Macaca mulatta: one gene and its partners. The protein of the gene in region 6 purifies or fractionates together with the protein of the main gene of each other region. This does not show direct contact. Links are inferred from orthologs where the notes say so. Each region holds a gene or a part of one and is shown on either strand. Other genes may lie near its edges.

What was found.
Region 1: the proteins of KPNA1 (region 6) and USP1 purify together in Homo sapiens (co-immunoprecipitation; 6 studies listed by BioGRID and IntAct, with this or other methods). This does not show direct contact. The link is inferred for Macaca mulatta from reciprocal best matches to the Homo sapiens genes KPNA1 and USP1.
Region 2: the proteins of KPNA1 (region 6) and MTA2 purify together in Homo sapiens (co-immunoprecipitation; 3 studies listed by BioGRID and IntAct, with this or other methods). This does not show direct contact. The link is inferred for Macaca mulatta from reciprocal best matches to the Homo sapiens genes KPNA1 and MTA2.
Region 3: the proteins of KPNA1 (region 6) and NOP58 purify together in Homo sapiens (affinity purification with mass spectrometry; 3 studies listed by BioGRID and IntAct, with this or other methods). This does not show direct contact. The link is inferred for Macaca mulatta from reciprocal best matches to the Homo sapiens genes KPNA1 and NOP58.
Region 4: the proteins of KPNA1 (region 6) and RNMT purify together in Homo sapiens (co-immunoprecipitation; 4 studies listed by BioGRID and IntAct, counting the BioPlex papers as one, with this or other methods). This does not show direct contact. The link is inferred for Macaca mulatta from reciprocal best matches to the Homo sapiens genes KPNA1 and RNMT.
Region 5: the proteins of KPNA1 (region 6) and ALKBH5 purify together in Homo sapiens (co-immunoprecipitation; 3 studies listed by BioGRID and IntAct, with this or other methods). This does not show direct contact. The link is inferred for Macaca mulatta from reciprocal best matches to the Homo sapiens genes KPNA1 and ALKBH5.
Region 7: the proteins of KPNA1 (region 6) and CHD3 purify together in Homo sapiens (affinity purification with mass spectrometry; 3 studies listed by BioGRID and IntAct, with this or other methods). This does not show direct contact. The link is inferred for Macaca mulatta from reciprocal best matches to the Homo sapiens genes KPNA1 and CHD3.

Annotation. Positions count from the first base shown.
Region 1 is NC_133406.1:178,189,643-178,192,397, forward strand, and holds the end of USP1 (ubiquitin carboxyl-terminal hydrolase 1), read right to left. Parts: intron 2,000-2,755; coding exon 1,264-1,999; 3' UTR 501-1,263; downstream 1-500. UniProt on the Homo sapiens protein: Negative regulator of DNA damage repair which specifically deubiquitinates monoubiquitinated FANCD2. Also involved in PCNA-mediated translesion synthesis (TLS) by deubiquitinating monoubiquitinated PCNA.
Region 2 is NC_133419.1:11,464,263-11,468,490, reverse strand, and holds the start of MTA2 (metastasis-associated protein MTA2), read right to left. Parts: upstream 2,801-4,228; 5' UTR 2,523-2,800; coding exon 2,495-2,522; intron 2,377-2,494; exon of another isoform or gene 2,094-2,376; intron 1,759-2,093; coding exon 1,691-1,758; intron 1,323-1,690; coding exon 1,229-1,322; intron 1-1,228. Other genes in the region: EML3 (echinoderm microtubule-associated protein-like 3), read right to left, coding at 3,536-3,739, 3,820-3,950, 4,218-4,228. UniProt on the Homo sapiens protein: May function as a transcriptional coregulator. Acts as a component of the histone deacetylase NuRD complex which participates in the remodeling of chromatin.
Region 3 is NC_133417.1:107,482,558-107,485,241, reverse strand, and holds the end of NOP58 (nucleolar protein 58), read right to left. Parts: intron 1,925-2,684; coding exon of another isoform or gene 1,832-1,924; intron 1,271-1,831; coding exon 1,131-1,270; intron 742-1,130; coding exon 691-741; 3' UTR 501-690; downstream 1-500. UniProt on the Homo sapiens protein: Required for the biogenesis of box C/D snoRNAs such as U3, U8 and U14 snoRNAs. Part of the small subunit (SSU) processome, first precursor of the small eukaryotic ribosomal subunit.
Region 4 is NC_133423.1:84,414,143-84,417,642, forward strand, and holds part of RNMT (mRNA cap guanine-N(7) methyltransferase), read left to right. Parts: intron 1-726; coding exon 727-891; intron 892-3,500. UniProt on the Homo sapiens protein: Catalytic subunit of the mRNA-capping methyltransferase RNMT:RAMAC complex that methylates the N7 position of the added guanosine to the 5'-cap structure of mRNAs. Binds RNA containing 5'-terminal GpppC.
Region 5 is NC_133421.1:19,758,640-19,762,745, reverse strand, and holds the start of ALKBH5 (RNA demethylase ALKBH5), read right to left. Parts: upstream 2,801-4,106; 5' UTR 2,538-2,800; coding exon 1,768-2,537; intron 1-1,767.
Region 6 is NC_133407.1:161,315,039-161,318,538, reverse strand, and holds part of KPNA1 (importin subunit alpha-5), read right to left. Parts: intron 3,349-3,500; coding exon 3,217-3,348; intron 1,684-3,216; coding exon 1,595-1,683; intron 1,273-1,594; coding exon 1,173-1,272; intron 1-1,172. UniProt on the Homo sapiens protein: Functions in nuclear protein import as an adapter protein for nuclear receptor KPNB1. Binds specifically and directly to substrates containing either a simple or bipartite NLS motif.
Region 7 is NC_133421.1:9,402,499-9,405,998, reverse strand, and holds part of CHD3 (chromodomain-helicase-DNA-binding protein 3), read right to left. Parts: intron 3,346-3,500; coding exon 3,142-3,345; intron 1,607-3,141; coding exon 1,395-1,606; intron 731-1,394; coding exon 599-730; intron 206-598; coding exon 106-205; intron 1-105.

The DNA of each region.
Region 1 (2,755 bases), on a different chromosome or scaffold from region 6:
GAAGGTACTCCTTGTTGAAATGGGGTATTATAGTGTTATCCCAATAGCATTTATATATTTAGAATCATTTCTAGGAAAAAAACTCTTTAGTACCAAGAATGTCCCTTAACAAGTCATGAAATCATTCACAACTTACCAATTCACTTTACTAGTTTAAAATGAAATTTTAACCAAGTTTTTATGTGTGCCCAAAGCATCATCTTAACTTTTCCAGTTTTCTATTCCATTAAATCATGTCTACTTTAAAGGACAATTAGATGCAACAAATGTCATTATAAACCTCTTTTAAGTATGACAGCTTGGATGGACTAAGCACAATTTCTCCTCTTTGAAAAACTCTTCTCCTGCACTATCAGAAAGTATTCCGTAATAAAGGTACTGATTATGCATGCTTATTCTCTCATATATATACATATATATATACACACACTTAGTTCTCTTTAAGAAAATTCAGCTGTATTTATAAAAATATACAAGTAAAAAATTCAAATATTCATATACATAGTTAAGCAGTTTAAATTTTATTGACCTCCCAGTTTTTAAAAAAAGTTAAATTTAAGGTCACACCTCTAAGTTTGATATACTATATACAGATCGTGCAGAATATGAGTTAAAGAGATACAAATTAGTCCATGCCCAAAAAGATTATACTAGAGTACAGAATCATCTTCATAAATACATATAAAATTCTTGTGAAGATAGAAGGGCAACTGTCCAGGTTTTCTGAGACACTTATTTCTAAGTGAATCAAGGCACAAAATGTACACTATTGTTAATACACACATTCTAGACTTTGTGCCTCTGACATAGCCCAAGGATTTCGCTTCATGACTCTTATAAAACTAAATGTACTGAATGAGATTCTGCTTCTTGGGTGAAAAACCACAGGAACTATAAACATCATGTAGATAATTACTCCAAAATATGGAGAATACAAATACGAGCACTTTATTTTAAAAAGCAAACACAAAAGATTGGTGTAAATCCAAGTGTTTAAATGCTTCCGTTTTGGATAATTTAATTAAGAACCGATACAAGTTTGTTCCCAGAAGCTAATGCATCACTAGTCTCTACTGAGGAAAATGAATTCTAAAAATTAACATGGTTTTCAGTAATTCAAATTTCACTATTTATATAAAAACCTAGAGAGACCAATAATATCCAGTAGCTTCAAAAGATAAGCTAAAGACTCTTTGATATAATCAACTTTACCAATGTTTGTGTGGGTGTGTTTAATATATACACAAGGAAAATACACTCACCCTATAATTTCTTATAAAATAGCAAGTAAGGAGTAGAAGTAGGAGATGTAGAAGGGGAAAGAGAATTCAGAAAGTCCTTCTCTTCAGTAACTTTGACTTCAGAATCATCAAAAAGCAACCACTTCCCCTCATACTCCTTTAAGCTTTGCACTACATATGAAATTTTGTTCTCAAATCCACTAATATTAACGCCTGTTTGGTCACTGGATTCCTTGTTTCTATCAGATTCATGGGTCCCATTAGTATCGTTAGTCTCAGAATTTCTATTTTCGGCAAACGCTGTACTAGCAACCTTATCAGGATTAGAGGCTTTGTTGTATAGCTCATAATCTGCTTTGCTCTTTTGTCCTCCAAGAAGTCCAATAGCTTCTACATTTTTTTTGTTCAAAACTTTACTTGGCTGTGTATTTCCACCAACTCTAATCGACACTTCTTCATCATCATAATTCTCAACCACACCCCTTGCTTCCTCCTCATTCAATGGTTCTGGCTTACCTATTTCACACATTTGGTCAACCACAAAATTTCCTTTATCTAGTTCTAAACTGTTAAGGTCAGTGACTTTAACAGAAGCAGTGTAATGCCCACTACTAATTGTAATGCCACTATGCATCACAACCGCAAACAATCCATAGCTGTCGTTAGTTGGCTTTGTGCTCCATTCTTCTAGTGACAATTTAAGAGGTGTCAATAAAGGAGTGTTGATCTTGGAAAGTCCACCACCGTAACAATCAAACCTTTGGGAGGAAAAAAAGAAAAGGTTTCCTGCAGTTACATTTTAAATTCAAAATGTTATACCCCAATCTGAAACCAAGTAAAAATCTGAATGAACCCTTAATATTCAGTCTTCATATATCAGAAAAGCAGAATCAAAACAAGACCCCAACTTTGAATAATATTTGTAATATATGCAGAAACAAAAAAATACTTAATAACTTCTAATATTCAGGCATTTCTGTGGAGGAAATAATTGTATTTTTTCCTTTATTTTCCTAATTTTGTGCAGTAAGAAAATAAATGGTATTTTAAATAGCCTGAACCTGAACTGAAAATGTTACATTTTAGGTTTTTTTTTTTCAGACAGGGTCTGTCACCCAGGCTGAGTGCAGTGGTGAAATCATGGCTCACCACAGCCTTCTGGACTCAAGTGATCCTCCCACCTCAGGCTCCTCCTCCTCAGCCTCCTGAGTAGCTGGGACCACAAGTGCCCGCCACCACACCAAACTAGTTTGTGTATTTTTTGTAGAGATAGGGTTTTGTCATGTTGCCCAGGCTGGTCTTGAACTCCTGGGTGCGAGCCATCCACCTTGGCCTCCCAAAGTGCTGGAATTACAAGTATGAGCCACCCACGCCCAGCCCATTTTAGTCATTTTTAGTGTGAAGTTTTTCTCTACCAAAAATTGGGAAAGTAAGTAAAATATTATTTTTTACTATTAGCAAACGGAAGGTCCACTGAATAAGGGGCTATATGTTATCTTCTGACATAACCAAGT
Region 2 (4,228 bases), on a different chromosome or scaffold from region 6:
CCACAACAGGCCAGCAAGAACATTACATTTGTCTCTTGCTAAACCAGCCTGAGGTCCAGCAACCCAGTAAGATGAAAAAAAAAATCACACAAGACTGTGTTTACCAGTTCTTTTCAATTTCAGGAGACTCTTTGCACTAAAACATCACATGCAGCCCTAACTATCCCTCATTCTCTACTTGGCTAATAATAGTTCCTAGGGTTTTCAAGGACAACACCTCTCAAGCTAGTGCCAACATCTTCCTCCTGAAAGAGCTGCAGCTTGCCCTGAAACCTAGTGGAAGGGGTTAATCTGGCTAGGCGCCAACCAAAGTGGGAGGGGGCAGAAAAGCCTCAGGCCCAGGCTCATTGGTGCATTGTTCCCAACCTCAGGGAGAAGGGGGGGTTGTTCAGTAGGCTCCACCCCTCGCTTGTGTGCTCCGGAAACCCTGTGCTAAGGCAAGGGGGACCACACCCCCAACACCCCTTCTGATTGGACAAGGCCAAGGTCAGCCCCTGCCAGATGGGGCTGGAAACCCTAAAGGGCCAGGGAACTTGGTTAGCCAGGCTCCTCTTTAACCCCTTCTCACCCAGAGCAGTCTGAAAAAGGAAAATGATTTAGAAAGGTGGAACAAAAGGAAGGAAAAAGAAAACCAAAGCAGGAAAGGAAAAAGCAGCTAAGGAAAATATTTTTTTTTAAAAAAAGAAAATGAGACCTTAAAGAGGATGAAAATAGAGCAAAATGAAAAGGGAAAGATGTAAAATGGGGGGTGGCAGGTGGGGAAATGGGCAAGGTGAGAAATTAAAAAGTGCAAGAAAACTTCCAGCCATCTTCTAACTTCCAGGTATTCTCACCACCTTGTGATTACAAAATAAGGCTGCTTCTGTTATGCGGGCTTCTCAGTACAATCTCTTCCTCTTCACCTTGACCTTCAGTCACCACCTACTGTCCCAGTGTACCCCAAACTGCCCCCCTTTAGAAAAGCATTCTGTTTCTCTAAACCCCGTCTTCATCCCCTAAATCAACCTTATCGTCTCTCTCCTACTCTCATACACAAACCATATCACAATCTCTCCACCCTGCTTCCAACCCCAACGTGTAAAAACAGGTCTCCCTCCTCAGGCCAGGCATTTCCCACCCTCAAACTCACACCTCTGCCTTGGGCATGCTACCAGGGGAAATACCTGCAGGGACATGCGCAGGCCTCAGATCATGGGGAGGGGGAAAAGAAAGGGATGAAGATACTCACTGGCATTACTATCAGCCAAGCTGTTGAGGCTACTAGAAATGTCCCTGCGCCGGAAAAGACAGACGACCTTTGCCTCCACATTTCCATTTGCAGTCTAAGGGGAGGAAAAAAACAAAAACAGAAACAAAACAACGTAGCAGTGAAAATTGATCATCTGGGAACAGAAATACACAAAGAGACAAATAACAGTAAGTTTCAGAGGGACCTAAATTAAAAAGCCCAAGAAAATATGAGTAAACACTTACATTCAAGGACAGACTTCCAAATCCCTTTCCTTTGCCCCCAAGAGACAGAATAGTAAAGTTCCTGCTAAGCTCTCAATAGCCTTTCCTGAATACATCCAATGAATGAATGAATGAATATGAATGGGTACTTAGTATAGGGTCCTCTCTTCCACCCGAAGTTAGAAACCTCAGAAGAGACCACTGGGGGAGGGAGGGAGAGAGATTCTGCTCCACTCACCTTGTTGAGTTCCTCAATCCGTCTAACCAGGTAAGGATTGCTGGAGGAGTTCTCAAAATAGACGTAATCTGTAAGGGAAGGGAGGGGGGAGAACCACGAAGATCAGAGGAGATGGGAGAGACGCAGAGCACCAGAGTAGGAGAGAAAGTTGGCCTGAGTGGATCAAAAGAAGATAAGGATTCAGGCAGAGAGCGCGCTGAGATGTGAAAGTGTAAAGACTAAGAGAAAATAAGGATGTCCCCCACCCCCACCGCACCTAGTTCTAAAATCAGATCCATTACTCAAAAGTGAGCCTTAAGGAACAGGCAAGAAGCAGGGATTCCCCTGCAGTCCCCACAACTCAGCAACGAGTTGCACCTCAGTCGCGGCGAAGTAATTGTTCGCTCTAGCGCAGGGCCCCCACCTTTTCGAACTGAGGCGCACAATAACGCCTGGGAAGAGGAAACCTCCGGGCGGCTCCTCCGCGGTGGCAAAGCCGTCGCCCCAGCCCCTCGCGTTCCCTCCCCACCCTGTCAGCTCCTTCGGAACCGGTTTCCGAAGCCCACTCCGTGCCCCGAGGAGCCCCCGACGCAGCCCTGAAAGTGCCGTCGGGGCTGCCCGCAGCTTCTCTCCAGGAGTCTCGGCGCCCTGCCGCGTCGCGGTTTCCCGCACCCTAGCTCCTCGTCTCCCGGTTCCGGTTCCGGTCCGCGCTCCGGTCCATGCCGCCCCATACGCTGCGCCTCGCGCCACCCGGTGCCGAGCCCCTCCGGTCCCGACCACAACCTCTCCCGCCCCGGACCCTGTACCCCTGCGCCCGGTACTCACCTCCCACCCGGTACATGTTGGCCGCCATGGCCGTTCCCGCCGCCGCCTCCGGCCGCACAAAGGGGTCCGGGAGGCTCGCGGGGGCAGGGCTCGGCTAGAGGCAAAGCCCTGAACGGTGGGCTGGCGCTTCGAGGGAGTCTCACTGGGGCCCGCGCAGCCGTCACCTCCGCTGCCTCAGCCGTCGCGGTTCATCCCGGCCCGCGCTGTCGCCGCCGCAGCTATCGCCTCACTCCCGGGACGCTGAGGCTGGCCCCGGTCCGCTCGGCTTCTTCCGGAACGAGCTCGGCTCCTGCCAGGCTGCAGCTGCCCCCACCCCCGCCGAGTCCCACTAGTCGTTGAGCTCTGCCGGCCGCAGGGAAGGCTTGCCCGGCCCGCCTCAGGGTTCGCCTCCTTCCGTAACACCTTCGGCCGATCCGGAGAACAAGGCCCACTGCTCGGCTCAGGTCGGAGAGCGAGACCCCGCAGATCGGCTACTTCCGGAAGAAGTTCGGCTCCTGTCGGCCAATCGCTCGGCTATTTCCGTTGCAGCTCGGCACCCCCCCCACCCCTTTTTCCGAGGGCGGGAGAGGAGTGGGGCTTAACTCTGTCCTAGCTGGAGCCCTGCAACTCCTCCTCCCGCCCCGAAGACTCGCGCGCCTTAGCGCTTCGCCAGGTTATTTGCAAGCGGCTTTGCCTGTTATTTGCATAAATGGTCTACGCTCCCTTGCCCTTTCCGCACGCCTCTTTTCCTTCGTCCCCACCCCACAGGGCCCCGGAGGCACCCAGCAGCGCCCCACAAAAGCACCGGGAGGCGACTTTGGTTCTGGTTTATTGCCCCTCAGCAGGCAGCGGGAGTCAAGGCCTAGGTTGGGGCTGCCCGGCTCAACCAGCGGGTCTAAACAGTGTGTGCAGGGGCGCCGCTCGCGCCCTCCAGGGAAATGCACCGTCGGGAATGTTTCGAAGTCAGTCGAGGAAAGAGTCGGCCCCTGGTCGTGGGGGATTAGGGCGGGGCAGAGCGGGGCGGGGCCACGCCGCCAGGCCAGTAGGTCCCGCCGGCAGCGATCAAACGTCGAGGGAGGAGGCGGGGGACAGGGAGGGGGTTCGAGAGGGCGTGGCAGGCGCCGGCCCCGCGCCCCCAGCGCCCAGCACTCGCCACTGGAAGATGCTGGCGTCCTTGCCGCCCAGCGAGACAAGGTGCGAGTCGTCGTGCGTGAACCGGACGCTGGTCACGTGGCTGCCGTGGCCCCCGTACATGCGGCTCGGCGCCTGGGCGGGAGGGAAGACTTGCAGTGGCGGCGGAGCCCTCGGGCCCACCCGTCCCACCCCGGCGGCCCCCGCGGCCTCACCTTGGCACGAGCGCACGGGTACTGGAATAGATGCACTTTGCAGAAGTCGTCGGCCACCGCCACCACGCGCTCGTTGTGGGAGCGGCACAGGGAGTTGATGTCGGTCCCATCGGAGCCGTCCGGCCACACGCCTAGCACAGTGGCCGGCCTCAGCCCGACCTCCTACCCACCGCCACCCACGGCCCAGAGCTACACCGTTTCAGGCGCTCCGGCAGCCGCAGCCACCCACTGTCGCGTTCCAGGAAAGCCTTCCCGGTCCCGAGGGCCGGAGGGGCCTCCTGGGCTGGATCTTCAGGTTTCTGGACTCTCACCCAATGACACACGCCCAGCGTTCCGAGCCCAAACTGGGCTCCACCTTGTCCCCCACCCCTCCAGCAGGGTTCCACGCCCCTGCTCACCGTAGACGTGG
Region 3 (2,684 bases), on a different chromosome or scaffold from region 6:
TTTTTTTTCCTCTATTCTCCATTCTTTATGATCACTTTGTACAACCTTTAAAAAAGTCACTTCAGGTTGACTACTTTAAAAACAAATCAGGGTATTAAGAATTATTTCGGTGTGCCTTTTACAATTGCAAACAATAAAGGTAGGGATACTATCTCCCACCCTTCTGAACAGATACTAAAATGTTTTGCTCACCTAATTTTAAAATTTGAACAAGAAACAATATTTAAATAAAGAGAGGTAGAAAGACAATAGGTGGAAAATAAAAAGTAGTCCAAAAAGGCAAAAGAAACACATTAGAGTAGGGTTCTTGAATTGGTCCACTTAGTCACTGCCTTCCAAAAGGTCAAATTTCAAAAAAACTCTCACTTTTCAGTTATAATTATCAAAACAATAATCATCACATGGCAAACTATAGAAGGAGCCAAAGATTCTCTACTCAAGATATAAAGAGATCACAAAATTGTCTTAAAATACAAAGAAAATTTTATTTGTATATCAAAGACTCTAAGAAATGATGACATAAGGTTAACAGAGTTGATGTCAAGACACAAATAGGTTTGAAGTTATAGATGATAAATCACTTTGTTTTACTGAACCTTCCCTTGGTTATGTTAGAGAGCATCCCTGGTATGCTCCCAGTTGAATCTTAAGCATGATGTGTCCAGGTGATACACTTGTAATTCCTTTCTGTTAATCCTCGTTATCTCTTTTTTTTTTCTTTTTCTTCTTTTTCTCTGGACTCTGAAAATAGCCAACAAGAATGCTTTGAAAGAGCTGTAATTGTATGGGTGACTAATCACTTTTCTTCATAAAATGCAAAATCAATCTGTTTCCCTTGAAAACAAATTCAGGGAAAAGATTAAAATTGAAAATATAAAAACCCCACCTATAAAAGTAAGTTTCAGCAAATCATACTCTTCCTCTCAATGCAAACTCAATTTTTAGTAATAAATTCTAGATTTGGGAAATGGCCTTTTATAATGTAAATACAACAAAGCCATTTCACTTTTACCTCCCCATCAATGAAAACCATTTTTTAAAATGCCTGCTCATTTCTGATATAGAAAATAGATTGAAATGTGGAGAACTGGCCCCTCCAAGTGAACATCGATAATTAAAAACAAACATACAGCAATTGCTGTGCTGGTACATGGTTCTTCCTCAGAAAGTGGTTCTTCCTTAATGTGTTTCTTTTTACCCTTTTTCTTCTTCTTCTTCACAGATGTTTCTTCTTCTTCTGCCACTTTTTCTTCTTCTTCCTCTTCTTCAACTGAATAGAGTAAGTGTAAAGGCACAACAAATTAACACTATATCAGATCTCACTCTTTCCAAAAACGTTTGAGTCCTAGGTTTTTTTCTGTCATTCTCATCAACTACCCAATGTTTGTTTTGTTTATTTTATAATTGGGAAGGTTCTCCAAGGCCTACGACTAACTTTAACAAATGATACAGATAGAGCTCAGGCAATTTTCTCACGAGCATGAAATCATGTATAAAAATCAGGATTAAAACAACGGTCATCTGATCTCCAATCATTATTGGGAAGAGAGTCAATTATATTAGAAATGGTTAAGAGCTTGCACTCTGAAGTCAGAAGGCCTGGGTTTAGTCTACTCTCTACAACCCTGAAAAATTGTATTTACCCCTGGTAAAACTACATATCCTCATCTATAAAACTTAAGAATGTCTTATCTTACTAGATTGTTACCGAGACTTAAAAAGATGATGCATAGAAAGTACAAAGTATAATGCTTAGCACACATTACAATAAGGACTCAACACGTAGCTATCATTAGACATTCAGTGACCAGCTGGGTGCAGTGGCTCACACCTGTAATCTCAGCACTTTGGGAGGCTGAGGCGGGAGGATCACTTGAGGTCAGGAGATCAAGACCAGCCTGTCCAACGTGGTGAAATCCTGTCTCTAATAAAAATACAAAAAAAGTTAGCCGGGCCTGGTGGCACATGCCTGTAATCCTAGCTATTCAGGAGGATGAGGCAGGAGAATCACTTGAACCCAGGGGGCGGAGGTTGCAGTCAGCTGAGATCACGCCACTGCACTCCAGCCTGGGTGACAGAGCAAGACTCTGTCTTGTGGGGGGCAAAAAAAAAAAGAGGGAGGAAATTGTGGGATGAAAAATTGACAGATAAATCGGAAAAGCTTATTGGATACACAATTGAGGATACAAAAGACAGAGTTTGGTGCCTCAAATGCTACTAATGGGTTTAGGGATCTCCTTACTTTTCAATAAAAAGAAGCATAAAAGTTAAATAAATTACTTCTCTATCAAGTATACTATCCACATTTGTAGAACATACACTTTTGACCACTAAGCTACTTAGAAACCAAGTTAAAGCAATCATTGTGTTAATGCTTTACTCTTTTGCTAGACTTGCTAGTAGGTGTTCAAGAAACCCAGGTTTAACTAATAATGGGGCCCCTGCTTATCAGCTTCACAAGACAGCCTAGTTAACTGGTGAGCACCTACTGGATATTGTAACTATGACGGCAGGCTACCAGTATGTGTTCCTTCTAGTCCACTCCAGATAACAGAAACAATGAAGAAAATCACTGTACCATCAATTCCATATAACTATAAAACAAAAAATTTTCAACAACCAATTTAGAAAACACATTCCTTTTTTCTCTTAATTCTCAAAATAGTTCATGTAGTAGAAACTCA
Region 4 (3,500 bases), on a different chromosome or scaffold from region 6:
TAAATTCAATAGACAAATTTACAGATGAACTTTTAAAAGTTCATCTTTATGTGTAGGTTAGAGACTGAAGTTATAGTGATAGACAAACTGCAGGTCAGACAGACAGTCACGGAGACTGAACCAATCTTCATGTGTGAGTTAGAGACTGAAGTTATAGTGATAGACAAACTGCAGGTCCGACAGACAGTCACGGAGACTTAACCAGCGCTCATGAGAGTGATTCCTATTTCCAGCTTAATTTTATTGGTGTGACTGTTGATGATCTTTTAGTATATTGCTTCTTAAAAGTAACTGAGATCAGGAGGGTGCAGTGGCTCATGTCTATAATCCTAGCACTTTGGGAGGCCAAGGCAGGAGGATTGCTTGAGGCCAGGAGTTTGAGACCAGCCTGGTCAACAAAGTGAGACCTTGTCTTTACGAAAAATTTACAAATTAGCCAGCGTGGTGGCACACCCCTGTAGTCCTTACTCAGGAGGCTGAGGCAGGAGGATCACTTGAGCCCAGGAGCTGGTGGCTGTAGTGAGCTATCATCACACCACCGCACTCCAGCCTGAGTGACAGATTAAGACCTTGTCACTTTAAAAAAAAAAAAAAAAGCCCATATCTAATTAAAAAGCTAATCAAGTGTGCATCATGTAGTTCTTCACATGCAAAATCTGATCAAAATAAGTCTACATTAATCACAATTTTATTCTTTTTATTTTGGTTGGGGGATAACCTTGACAGAAGACGCCTTGAAGCTTCAGAAACAGAATCATTTGGAAATGAAATATATACTGTGAAATTTCAGAAGAAAGGAGATTATCCTTTATTTGGCTGCAAATATGACTTCAACCTGGAAGGTGTTGTGGATGTTCCTGAATTCTTGGTCTATTTTCCATTGCTAAATGAGTAAGAAGATTAATCTGTTCACTCTTTTCTTTTTGTCTTAAGGGAAAGAAAAGGGGGGAAAAGCAGTATTTCTTTTACTCTTTATTTTAAATGGGGGCCAAAGAAAAAGTATAGTCTTGTTTTTTTTTGTTTTGTTTTGGTTTGGTTTTTGTTTTGTTTTGTTTTGTTTTTTAAAAAAAAAAAAGACTAGCCTCAAATCTGGGGGATTATTGCCATAGGTCTCATATAGCCTAACTTAGTTTTTTCTCATTCCTGGAATGTTTTAATCCTGTGGGTGAAAAGGGGAACCAGTTGCCTTCAGCTTGTGGCACAAAACGCCTGACACTGCAAATAGCGAAAGTTTTTTTTTTAGTTACTGTTGGTCGCTTTGATGATAAACAATGAGTCTTCATAAATCAAAGGTCTTCCTGTTGACAGAGATGAGCATTAAAAGTTGTTTGCATTTCACTACAGCTTTGAAATTGGCTATGTCTCACAGGCAGTGTCGATGTTAAAATCCTGATTCAGGAATGTATGCTCCCATGTGCCTGAATTCCTAGGAGTCCTGGCAAACTGTAGACACAGGAAAAGCTGGGGGTAACTGGGCCTTACCAGGTAAGGCTTCAAGGCCTTGTGATACACCTTGGTTTCCAGAGTTTCCCTGGTGGGGAGAGTATAAAAGTCAGCTTAAATGTAGGCCATGTCATGATTGATTGAACTTGATTTTCTACTTTTTCGAAACAAAAATCTTTGTTTTGAATATTAACTGAGAAAAAGAAGAGGTATATTGTCTGTTTACTTTTGCTTGGTGATGATTTTAATTGTAACTCAGTCTAAAATTAGGGTTACAGTATTTTCAGGAGTTCTGTAATAGCTTATTCAATAGTATAAGAAAGCCAAGTAGCATTGTGACTGAACATGAGGAAAATACTATGCATAATTTTATAAATATAAACCATTACAAAATTTAAAAATATCAATTGCATTTTGCTTTTTAGTTTTTAAAACTAATAAACTTGGGGGAAATGTTACTGCTCTTCAACTTTATTTAAAAAAGAACTTATTTGTGGCATGTTGTTGAGAATGTTTAATATGTTAGCTTGAGGTTTTAGTTAACAGTATAAAACAAAAGATTCGTTTTAAATGCTGAACAAGACCTAGAGGTCTTTGTTTTTTTTTTTTTAACTTGAATTGCCTAATGATGGTAAACCTAAGTCATCACTTTAATATCTAATTTTTTAAAAGATTATTTATTGAAACAGTATTGGATGAAATAGAATCTGAAAATGTGTAGGGGTTTTGAGATGCCTTTTTGCCATTTCATTAAGAAACTGAACAGAAGCTTTTTGTGTGGCAAAACTTACTCAAATTGGGCCTCAATTCTTGGAATCATGAGATTTTTTAGGTGTGAAACTTGGTTTCATTTCTAAAGGTTTATTTTAGAGATTTACAAAGAGAATGGGCTGGAATAAAAGATTTAATTTTGCTCATGTTGCCTTTCCAAGGAGGATGCATTGAAGTAACAGAATCCTGCCTTACGTGAACCTCTTACATAGAAACCTCGGTGGCCCCTGGTGTCTGCCTTACGTGACCCTCTTACATAGAAACCTCGGTGGCCCCTGGTGTCTGCCTTACGTGTACCTCTTACATAGAAACCTCGGTGGCCCCTGGTGTTTGCCCTACGTGTACCTCTTACATAGAAACCTCGGTGGCCCTCTGTTTGCCCTACGTGTACCTCTTACATAGAAACCTCGGTGGCCTCTGGTGTCTGCCTTACATGAACCTCTTACATAGAAACCTCGGTGGCCCCTGTTTGCCCTACGTGTACCTCTTACATAGAAACCTCGGTGGCCCCTGGTGTCTGCCTTACATGAACCTCTTACATAGAAACCTCGGTGGCCCCTGTTTGCCCTACGTGTACCTCTTACATAGAAACCTCGGTGGCCCTCTGTTTGCCCTACGTGAACCTCTTACATAGAAACCTCGGTGGCCTCTGGTGTTTGCCTTACGTGAACCTCTTACGTAGAAACCTCGGTGGCCCCTGTTTGCCCTACGTGTACCTCTTACGTAGAAACCTCGGTGGCCTCTGGTGTTTGCCTTACGTGTACCTCTTACATAGAAACCTCGGTGGCCTCTGGTGTTTGCCCTACGTGTACCTCTTACGTAGAAACCTCGGTGGCCCCTGTTTGCCCTACGTGTACCTCTTACATAGAAACCTCGGTGGCCCCTGTTTGCCCTACGTGTACCTCTTACATAGAAACCTCGGTGGCCCCTGTTTGCCCTACGTGAACTTCTTACGTAGAAACCTCGGTGGCCTCTGTTTGCCCTACGTGTACCTCTTACGTAGAAACCTCGGTGGCCCCTGTTTGCCCTACGTGAACCTCTTACATAGAAACCTCGGTGGCCTCTGTTTGCCCTTGCCCTGTCCCCTCAAATGCCACCCTGTACACGAGCTCTCCAACCTAACTTTCAGGGTTTCCCCACTTCCTTCCACTCTTCCTTTACCTGCTGCCTGAAGTCATCTCCAGGCTCCCTCTTGTTGTCTACAGATATATAATTATAAACTTGGTAAATGCAGTGAGGAAAAAAAACACCTGAGAGTCTAATGGAGGGACCTAATATAATAGAAG
Region 5 (4,106 bases), on a different chromosome or scaffold from region 6:
TCGCTGAGCCTCCCACACTAACTCCACAGCCAAGTCTGAATTCAGAAGGGGTTGACAGGGACTGGGAAAGCTTTAGGACTTTACTATTCTGAGGAAAAGATGAAGAGAATTTTCCTGATGATGCAATCCCGTTGCTGATCACTAACAGACCTGCATACTAAGAACTCGAAACTTCTGTTCTTAAATGCAGGGTGTGTGTGTGTTAAGGAGAGGAGTAGTCCCAAAACCAAAAAAATGCCTTGTGATCCCCTCATTAGGCACCAGACCACTACTAGACCTCCTGACAACCACCCTGAGGTCCAATGACTACGCAGAAAATTAGTATCCCACTAAGAGACCAAATGGTCCTTGTGTGAGGTAATTTCAGCACTGAGAACCCTTCAACAGGGTCAGACCCCAACCTGCCTTACACAGTGAGCACGCTGGAAGGGTGTGTCCTGGAAATCCCATGTTAAAGCATTCTGCCAAGACATCCATCTAGGAGCGCCATGAAGATTTGAGAAGCCCAGAAGGCCATGATAAGAAGGTATCTGACAGGTAAGCTGTCCTCTAGGTTTCAGATGCCTAAGGAGTCACAGTATCGCTTCTGCTACTACTGACTTCCCAGATTCCCATCAGGAGGTCTTGGACATCACAAGGCTCTGCTGCCATCCCCAACATGGAAGGAGCCTCAGCTGTTCGACTCAAATGAGACAGATGACCTCCCCTCATGATATGAAGAGGGCACCAGGGACACTGCTTCTCCTTATGACTTTGGCCCTTCTGACTCACTTCAGAACCTGGGCTGCTCACGACAAAAGCCCACTGTGTCCTCATCTTGTATTTGGTGGTGGTCAACCAAGCTGCTCTGAGAACAGCTGCAGTCTAGACCTAAGAGGTTTTGGGGATTACTGAATTACATTACTAGGTTTACCTTTTTCAGGACTCGAAGGAGGTAGCTTCCAAAAAAATTTTCACTTCACGTTAACAGCAAAGGTGTTCCCACTGGCAATCTCCTCTGGAGGCCAGGGCACTGAGCTAATTCTCAGCAGGATCTGGGAACCGAATATAGGCCAAAAGCCTAAGTTCTACCGCTCACGCAACTATAAGACCAAACAGTCAAAAGACCAGCTGTATTCTATTGTATTCAGTCCTGACTACGTTCTTACAAAGAACTGATGGGCTCTTCTGCAGCCAGGAGAGAAGAATTTTAAGAGTGTGCTGCTCTCTATTCCTGGCCCAATCACTAATCTGTTCAACTCCAGGGAAGTCACTCCCCCTCCTGGGAATGGAGAATGTGCTTCAATTAAATAATCTCTGGGGCCTTTGCCTGTGACTACTTTCTCGGTTAAGGAATCCAAAAATGGCAGAACAATAACGACTTTTAGATAGTAAATTAAAAAAAAAAATTTAAGTATAGATTTGTAAACGGAAGGCCAGAATGAAAAACTGAAAAATTACAAAGGGATTCATGCTAAGAAATGGGTGGTGGGGAAAAAAAAATCAAAGCGAACAGCCTTCTGAAAAGATGGCTTTTGATGAATTCTCAGTCAAGTCAGTGATCCCGTCAAACCTGCCTTCGGGGACAGGATTTCCACATCGGTTCCCTGTTTTCTTGCTATAGGTATCTTAAACACAGAACCCTTCTCTCGCTCCCTGCAACCTACAAACAGAAGAATTGGTCAGAACTGTAAAAAACGCGGACTCCTACGGGCTGCTGCTTTCTGGGCCAGGGTGGGTAGCTAAGGCAGCAGGCGCAGGGCCGCCCCCTCTACCCGGGTGGGTTACCTGAGCACAGTCACGCTTCCCCTGCGCACCGGCAGGGAAAGCACTGGTTCCGACACCCGAATAGGCTTGAACTGGAACTTGCAGCCGAAGCACAGCGCAGAGTCGCTAAAGAAGGACACGGACACGATGGGGCGCTCGAAGATGTGGATGGGGTCCACGTGAGACACGATGCAGCCGCCGGGCTGGTAGTCGTTGATGACGGCGCTGTTGACGAAGCCCTCGGGGATGACGCGGTGTTCCACCAGCTTTTGGATCACCAGCTGGTGCACCCACTCGGGGATCTCGTCCACGTCGCCCGGCGGGTAGAGGCGCTCCTGGCCGGGCCCGCGCTTCTGCAGCTGGGCGCCGTAAGTGTAGCCTTCGCCGAAGAAGTACTTGTTGCGCAGTGGGGCCCGGTCCACCGTGTGCTCGTTGTACAGGCCCTTCTCAGCGCGGGACACCACCTCGTCAATGCGGGCCTCGATCTTGGCGCACTCGTCCTGGCTGAACAGGCGCATCTGGCGGATGCCGCTCTTCACCTTGCGCGCCTCCTCCTCCTTCTGCAGCTGCTGCTCCTCGTAGTCGCTGCGCTCGGGGTCCGAGTCCTCCTGATACTTGCGCTTGGCCCCGGACACCGGGTAAGGTTCGGCGGCAGCGGCGGCTGCGGCTGCAGCAGCCACGGCGGCGGCGGCGGCGGCGGCGGCCTCCCGGCTGCCCGCCTTATAGTTGTCCCGGGACGTCATGGACTTGAGCTTCTCACGCAGGTCCGTGTAGCCGCTGGCGGCCGCCATGGCCCCCGCGACGCTGCTCTAGGGTCCTCCGGGGCGGGCGGGGCAGCCGGGCATGGCTCTAAGGGGACGCGCCCCGGGGCCCCCGGAAGGAGGGGGGTCCTTAGCGCCGAACCCCCATGCGTGAGTGGGGGACCCGGCGGGGGGCGTCGAGGGTCCGGGCGTGGGGTAAGGCCTCAGGAGCGAAGGGTCATGCAACGGTGGCGACAACGGGGCTTCTTCCTCCTCCACCTTCTCCACGTCCCGGGGGGCAGGGGCGTCGGCAGCGCCTCATGCCGCGGAGGGCTGCTGCGGAGACGCGGCCCGACTCCCGACCAGACCCTCGGACGCCCGGCCCGGCCCGCACTTTAAAGCTCTCCTCACGACGTCACGGGCCGCCAGCCCGACGTCCGCCAGCGCCGCTCCTTAGCGGGCTCCTCACCGCGCACGCGCAGTGCCGCCGGCCACCGCGGCTCCGCGCGCTACGGGCATGCGCGTGCGTGCAGGCCGGGTGGCAGAGGCGCCGGCGCAAGCGCAGACAGGGACCGCTCGCCGTCCGCCGCCCCTCCCCCACTCGCTGAGGGGCTTCGAGGGAGCGCTCTCAAATAGCAACCTGTCTTCACGCCGCGCCGCCTCCAGGACCGAAGGGCTCCCTCTACAGGGGTGCGCTCACACTGCCAAGAGTGTCGCCATGCCGCGTCACGGCATCGTCCGAATGCCCGCAGACGCCTCAACCCCAGCGCGCAATCACCGGGGAACCGCCACAACCTAGGCCGCTCCGTTACCTCCCCCTTTAGCGCTTCCACTCCTTTAATTGGGCCGTGGGCCACGCGCCGGGCAGGCCCTGGCTGGAGTTTCCGGAAGTCGGTTGGTAATCATGCGTGTCAATCAGGCAGTCTCCTTGGTTACTGCGTCCGTCACTTAATTAGCGGCTGGGCGAGCAGCGAGGACCCCTAAAGGAGAAATGGTTGGCTAAATAAGTGCCTGAATGGAGACTCCGCCTGAGGAAAGCCTTTAGGACTCCTAAGGAAACTTCTGAAACCCGCGAAAACTTCTCAAACTGCGGGACCGAGAGCACCCAACCCCACCTCTGAACCCAGATAGGAACGTCCGGCACAAGCCAGACGCGCGTTGTCGGGGTACAAGCCAGCCTGCCGCCGCTGCCGCCGCCGCTCGGAGCGGACGTTTCACGAGTCACGTCCCGGTGAAGGCGGGCGCGGGGGCGCGCTGGGGTTGGCGTCGAGCCTCGTTGGTGCTGGAGATGGGCGTGGGGGCACCTCCTACGGGGACGACGGAAGAAAACTCCAGGAAACAAACGGGCGCAAGGATAAGGCTAAGCTATAGATAGTGACTACAGTCAATTCAAAAAAGTTTTGAAGCAGTCAGCCAAGGCGTGGCCGGGCTCGGGGGCTCACGCCTGTAATCCCAGCACTTTGCGAGACCAGGGCGGGCGGATCACTTGAGTCCAGGAGTTCGAGACCAGCGTGGCCAACATGGCAACCCCATCTCTACAATAAAATTTCAAAAAAAGAACTGGGCGTGGTGGCGCGCGCATGTGGTTCTAGCTCCTCAGGAGGCTGAGGTGGGAGGACC
Region 6 (3,500 bases):
CTATTCGGGAAGCTGAGGCAGGAGAATCACTTGAACCCAGGAGGTGGAGGTTGCAGTGTGCCAAGACCATACCAGTGCACTATAAGCCTGGGCAATAAGAGCAAAACTGTCTCAAAAAACCAAAAAACAAAAAAACAAGAAAAATAGACGTTGGCATGAATGTGGTGAAAAGGGAACACTTTTACACTGTTGCTGGAAGTGTAAACCAGTAAAACCACTATGGAAAACAGTGTGGAGATTCCTTAAAGAACTAAAAGTATATCTACCATTTGATGCCCAATCCTATTCCTGGGTATCTACCCAGAGGAAAAGAAGTCATTATACGAAAAAGATACTTGTACACACAGGTTTAGAGCAGCACAATTCACAATTGCAAATGCACAGAACCAGCCCAAATGCCCATCAATCAACAAGTAGATAAAGAAAATGTGATATATATACCATAGACTACTACTCAGCCATAAAAAGGAACGAAACAATGGCATTTGCAGCAACCTGGATCGAACTGGAGACCATTATTCTAAGTAAAGTAACTCAGGACTGGAAAACCAAACATCAGATGTTCTCATTCATTAAGTGGGAGCTAAGCTATGAGGACACAAAAGCGTAAGAATGATACAATGGACTTTGGGGACTCAGGGAGAAAGGACTGGAGGTGGGTGAGAAATGAAAGACTACACACTGGATACAGTATATACTGCCTGGGTGATGGGTGCACCAAAATATCAGAAATCACCACTCAACAAGTAACTCATGTACCTAAACACCACCTGTTCCCCAAAAACCTGTTGAAAAAAAAAAAGAATCTCATGGACTCCCAGAGAACTCACAGATCACATTTTGAGAACCATTGTTTTAAGAGAACTGAAAGGATAGTCTCTTAATACAGTATATTAATTGTATGCAGCCTAATTTCAATAAGCTTTACAAATTCTTCCTTCATGCTATGCTTTATTTGCAGTCCCTTCGTAAATGTGCACCTTCAAGTTATGCTTTAAATTTGCTTTTTAAATAATAAAGAGAACCAACAAAAACAACAGTTTGTCTGAAAACAGATAAAATTCTAACATTTTAAATTTTAACAAAAATTATCTTTCTGTTCACCTTACTATTGGTTGCTATATTCTTTTAATTGTATTTTTCTGCCAATGTCCCAAAAGCATAGTCCTTACCTTTGCAAATTCTGGAGGTGGACTTTTCCCTCTACAGAGATTAGACAAAGCCCATACTGCATTCCGGGTCATGGTCAGGCGGTTTTGCTTTGAAAATAACCTACAAGCACGATGGTACAAGGGTAAACTATATAACAGACAGTGATTATCTGATGACATAAATACTAAATAATACTTTTGATAAAGAGATGTCTTCAGACAGCTTTTCTCCAAAACATTAAAACTTCATTAATTCTGATGCAAGTAATTCAGAATTTTGGCACGGAAAAAGATAGGGTGCTGGAGGAAATGATCTATACAAGAAAATATCTGGAATAAAAAATAACACTAGAAAATCCAAAATGATTTCCAAAGATGTAACGCTTTCTGAGGAATCTCTTACATTTTTATTCTCAAAAAGGAAGAAGGAAGAAGAAACTTACTGCAAAAGAGGGGGAAGGATATTGCAGTCTAAGACATAGTCCCTGCACATGGTACTATCTCCAGCAATGTTGCCAAGAGCCCAGACTGCCTGTGAAAGAATCATTCATTAATAAAGGCTACATAGTTTAATTCCCTCATAATTCTTTCAGATGCCAGTATACCACAATAACACGTTCATCGGCGAGTCAAATGAAATAGTTGTAGGATTGGGGGGAGAAGATAAGTAGTATCCAAGAGTATACAATAAACAGAGGTTTTCAGTTTATTAAAGGAAAGAACTAATTCTTTTTTGTTTGTTTTTGTTTTTTGAGGCAGAGTCTCACTCTGTCACCCCGTCTGGAGTGCAACACAGTGAAACCCCATCTCTACTAAAAATACAAAATTAGTCAGGTGTGGTGGTAGGCGCCTGTAATCCCAGCTACTCGAGAGGCTGAGGCATGAGAATTGCTTGAACCTGAGAGACAGAGTTGCAGTGAGCCGAGATTGAGCCAATGCACTCCAGCCTGGGTGACAGAGATTGTAAGACAGAAAGAAAGACAGACAGAAAGACAGACAGAAAGAAAGAAAGAGAGAGAGAGAGAGAGAAAGAAAGAAAAGCAAAGTAAAGCAAGAAAGCAAGAAAAAGAGAAAGAGAATTTTCTTGCTTACATAAGAAAACAGTGAACAAAAAGAAGTTTGTTTTCTGTACCCTTCTGCACAAAAGTAGCAAAGACTAGCCACTTTCTTTTTTTTGAGATAGGTCTCGCTCTGTTACCGAGGCTGGAGTATGGTGGTGTGATCTCGGCTCACTGCAGCCTCCACCTCCTGGAGCTCAAGTGAACCCTCCCACCTCAGCCTATCAAACAGCTGGGACAACAGGCGTGTGCCACCATGGCCACCTACTTTATTTTCTGTAGAGATGGGGTTTCACCATGGTGCCCTGGCTGGTCTCGAGCTCCTGGGCTCAAGCAATCTGCCCACCTCAGCCTCCCAAGTGCTGGAATTACAGGCATGAGCCACAGCAACTGGTCTACTTTCAACACTTGAAATTTCTACAAGAAAAAACCTCTATCAGTAACTGCTTACATGGTCTAAAAAAGTACATATACATAGCTTAAAGAATGTCAGGTTTGGAAGGGGAAGATTATTTTGTGTCTAAGAGAAATTCCGCCTACAGTCACTAAGACATTTTCTATTTGATTAAGACTAAATTTCTAGAACACTCCTTTGTGACAATCCATAGATTACCAAAGCCAACTGGCAAAACTCAGCCCCTTATTATGACTGAAGGGAAATACTGTTTCTTTTTTCTTTTTTTTTTTTTTTGAGACGGAGTCTTGCTCTCGTTGCCCAAACTGCAGTGCAATGACGCGATCTCGGCTCACTGCAACCTCCGCCTCTTGGGTTCAAGTAATTCTCCTGCCTCAGCCTCCCAAGTAGCTGGGATTACAGACACACACCACCACGCCCAGCTAATTTTTGTATTTTTAGTAGAGACAGGATTTCACCATGTTGACTAGGCTGGTCTCGAACTCCTTGTGATCCACCCACCTCGGCCTCCCAAAATGTTGGGATTACAGGCATGAGCGACGTGCCCAGCCGAAAAATTTCTTTCAGCTGCTTCCTTTTGTTTCATTTTTACCTGTTCCTGGACATCTTCAAACTCTGAGCTGAGCAACTCTATGAAGATAGGCACAGCTCCTGCCTGAATCACAATCCGGGTCTGAAGAGAATTTCCTGAAGCAATATTTGTCAGTACCCAAGCTGATTCAAACTATAAAGATAAAAATAATTTTCATTATCATTTTAGAATGTAAAAGCTTATTTACTTATAACAGTAACATTTTCTGTACATGAAAAAAAGATTCTGAGATCATTATTTGCACGTAACCTATCAGTTGAGTACTTTATTAATTTTAAAAGAAC
Region 7 (3,500 bases), on a different chromosome or scaffold from region 6:
GTTCACAGAGGTTACTGAATCTCTGGGAAGTTCCATCAATAGCCCTTGGGAAATCTTCGATCACCATGGCTCCAGAAACAAGAAATGCCAACTGAGAGGACTCACATCATTAGTGGGAGAACTGGGAGGCCCATCACCCTGTAGCTCCTTCTTCTTCTTCTTATACTTCCGGGGCTGGGCAGGGTCTTCCCCCATAATTAGTTCTCTGGAAAAAGAGTGGCTCTGAATGAGGCCTCATCTTTGGGAGTCCTACGCTTTCTTTTCTGAACCCATTCCAGACCTACTTCCCACTGTCCATGACCTAGATTTTCCCATATTTCCTTTTTCCCAGGCTTTTTACCCTTGCCCTTTGGATTTCACCTCAAGAACCAGCCCTCCCCACTCTTGAACATTCTCTTCTCCACTACTCAGCCAGATCTTGTTTCTGTTCCTTACACTACCTCTTTAGCAAGCCCATCTCAAACCACCCAGCCCAGGTGGCCATTGCCCTGAACTCCAGGTTGAATCAGTCCCTTCTATACCCTCATTTTATGCTGGAGTTTTAGCTTTCAGGCCCTCATCCTCAGAATCCCTCAAATCCACAGGCTCGTTCCCTCACCGGTGTCTCCAGTAGCTTTGCTTATGTTCTTCATATTCAGGGATATTCATTTCATCTTCCTCCCACGTGGACTGGTCATATGGCAAGTCCCTCCATTTTACTAGATAGTGGTAATTCCCCTTTTTATCCACACTGTGGGGCAGGAGGCCATAAGGAGGAGCAGGAGGAAACAAAAATTGCATAGATCACAAACAGCAAGAAGGCCTGAGAAACGCAATTATCAGCAAACACACAAAATTTGTCACCCAACCTTCAACAGTGGGCGCTGGAAGGGACGTGAGAATAGTTAACCTGGCAGCCTAACCTTCTCAGGATGGTATCCTAAAAATCAACTATCACAAAACATTCCTGGAGATCCCTCCTTATATCATTTGTTCACCTAATCACTAAGTATTTTCCTCATGGACCTCAGAGTCTCATGGGGAAGACAGCATTGAAATAACTAAATAAATACCGTAACTTTAGGCAGTAATAAGTACCATGAAGAAGAAATATTCAGAACACTGGTCTGGATGAATTATGTCTCTCATGTTTTGCTTTCATGCCCTCATCCCCAGACTCATGTGCTATGTCTTATGCCACTGGAGATGACAAAAGAGGCACTGCCTGGCCGAACTTTCCTCCTGTTTTCTCCCATTCCCCTGGAGGAAACAAGGCCAGAAAGGCTGAAGCTACAGCAGAGGTTATCAAGGTTAGATCAATTACCTGGTTAATCAGCAAATACTAACATGAGGCTATCACCATGGTAAGAATAGTGTCATATACCAGGTCTTACTTCCCAGGGCCAAGGATTCACCTGTGGTTGATGATACGGTGGACAGTCATCCACTCTGGCTTGATGCCAAAACGATAGTACTTCTCCTCCATCTCAGCATAGTGTGGGTCTTTCACTTTACGCTTGTCACTCTTCCCATCATCCTCGCCGGAGCCATAGTCCAGGGGCGGGGGCTCATCCATGTCATTCTTCCGCTGGTAGTTTCGGTACATAACCAAATGGAAGATTTCCAGCTGATAGGGCACAGAAAAACGAGGAAGAGACAGGCCTGACACTCACAGAGGACAACAGGGAACGGGGAAGAGGCCAGCAGGAGGAATGGGACAGGGAAAGAGAGCTATGAAAAAGGATAGATTGGCTGGGCGCGGTGGTTCATGCCTGTAATCCCAGCACTTTGGGAGGCTCAGGGGTGCGGATCACCTGAAGTCAGGAGTTCAAGACCAGCCTGGTCAACATGGAGAAACCCTATCTCTACTAAAAATACATAAATTAGCCAGGTGTGGTGGCACATGCCTGTAATCCCAGATATTCAGGAGGCTGAGGCAGGAGAATCTCTTGAACCCATGAGGTGGAGGCTGTAGTGAGCCAAGGTCACGCCACTGCACTCCAGCCTGGGCAATAAGAGAATAACAGGCGCGTCCCAGCACTTTGGAAGGTTGAGGCAGGTGGATCACCTGAGGCTGGGAGTTCGAGATCAGCCTGATCAACGTGGAGAAACCCCATCTCTACTAAAAATACAAAATTAGCCGGGCGTGGTGGCGGGCGCCTGTAATCCCAGCTACTTGGGAGGCTGAGGCAGGAGAATCGCTTGAACCCGGGAGGCAGAGGTTGCAGTGAGCCAAGATCGTGCCACTGCACTCCAGCCTGGGCAACAAGAGCAAAACTCCATCTCAAAAAAAAAGAAAAGAAAAAAGAAAGGAAGAAAAAGGATGGATTAGAGACAAATGAGTCAAAGTCAAAACAGGAGAATAAATAAAATGAAACAGATGCAACAGTTTCAGAAGACACCGCCTGGGTGGGGCTGTTATAAGCAAAAGGAGATAGGGAATGGGGTTATAAACATTGAGATTTTTTTTTTTTGAGATGGAGTCTCGCCCTGTAGCCCAGGCTGAAGTGCAGGGGCACGATCTTGGCTCACTGCAAGCTCCGCCTCCCGGGTTCACACCATTCTCCTGCCTCAGCCTCCCGAGTAGCTGGGATTACAGGCGCCCACCACCATGCCTGGCTAAATGTTTTGTGTTTTTAGTAGAGACGGGGTTTCACTGTGTTAGCCAGGACGGTCTCGATCTCCTGACTTCAGGTGATCCGCCTCCCTCGGCCTCCCAAAGTGCTGGGATTATAGGCGTGAGCCACCGCACCCAGCCGATAATTTTTTTTTTTTAAATAGAGATAGGGTTTCACTATGTTGCCTAGGCTGGTCTCAAGCAATCATCCTCCCCTGGCCTCCCAAAGTGCTAAGATTATAGGTGTGAGCCACTATGCCCAGCCAGGAATATTATAAAACATGGAAAAAGATAGATAAGGAAGGACGTGAAGTTAAGAAAGGCTATGCTATATCTGAGGGAAGAAAGCTAATGGAGACTGAGAGAAAGAGGACTGTAGACCAAAAGAACCACAGATGGAAACTAAGCAAGTAGGGTATAAAGGCCAGAGGCCTGAAACGAGAGAAAATGAAGGGTATGGGAACCCAGCAAACAGAGGAGTAAGAGAGGGAGAGGATGGCAGGAAATGAGGTCATGGGGGAGAGGAAAAGCAAAGGTCCTAGTACCTGAAGCTCCTTGGCCCAGGAGCAGTGCCAGTAGGATAGTCCCACCCACTTGACAAAGAACTCTCGCTCTGATCTGCCTTGAAGAGGACGCGGGGCTGGGACATCTGGATTCCCGTCTGCCTGTTGAGGGGCTGGCATTGCTACAGGCGGCTCCCCCCACCGCCAATGCAAGATCTTCTGCACTCGACCCTTCAGCACAGGGCACTTTGGGATGGACATGTACAAGGAGAAGGAAAAAAAAGAGGCAGACAGAACCCATCGTTAGATGACAGGATAGGGGTCCCACAGAGTGGGGGAGTGCAGAGAAAGGAAAAGCTGGACATGTGGGCCCCAGGGATGGGGGAAGGGATCAGGCCCGA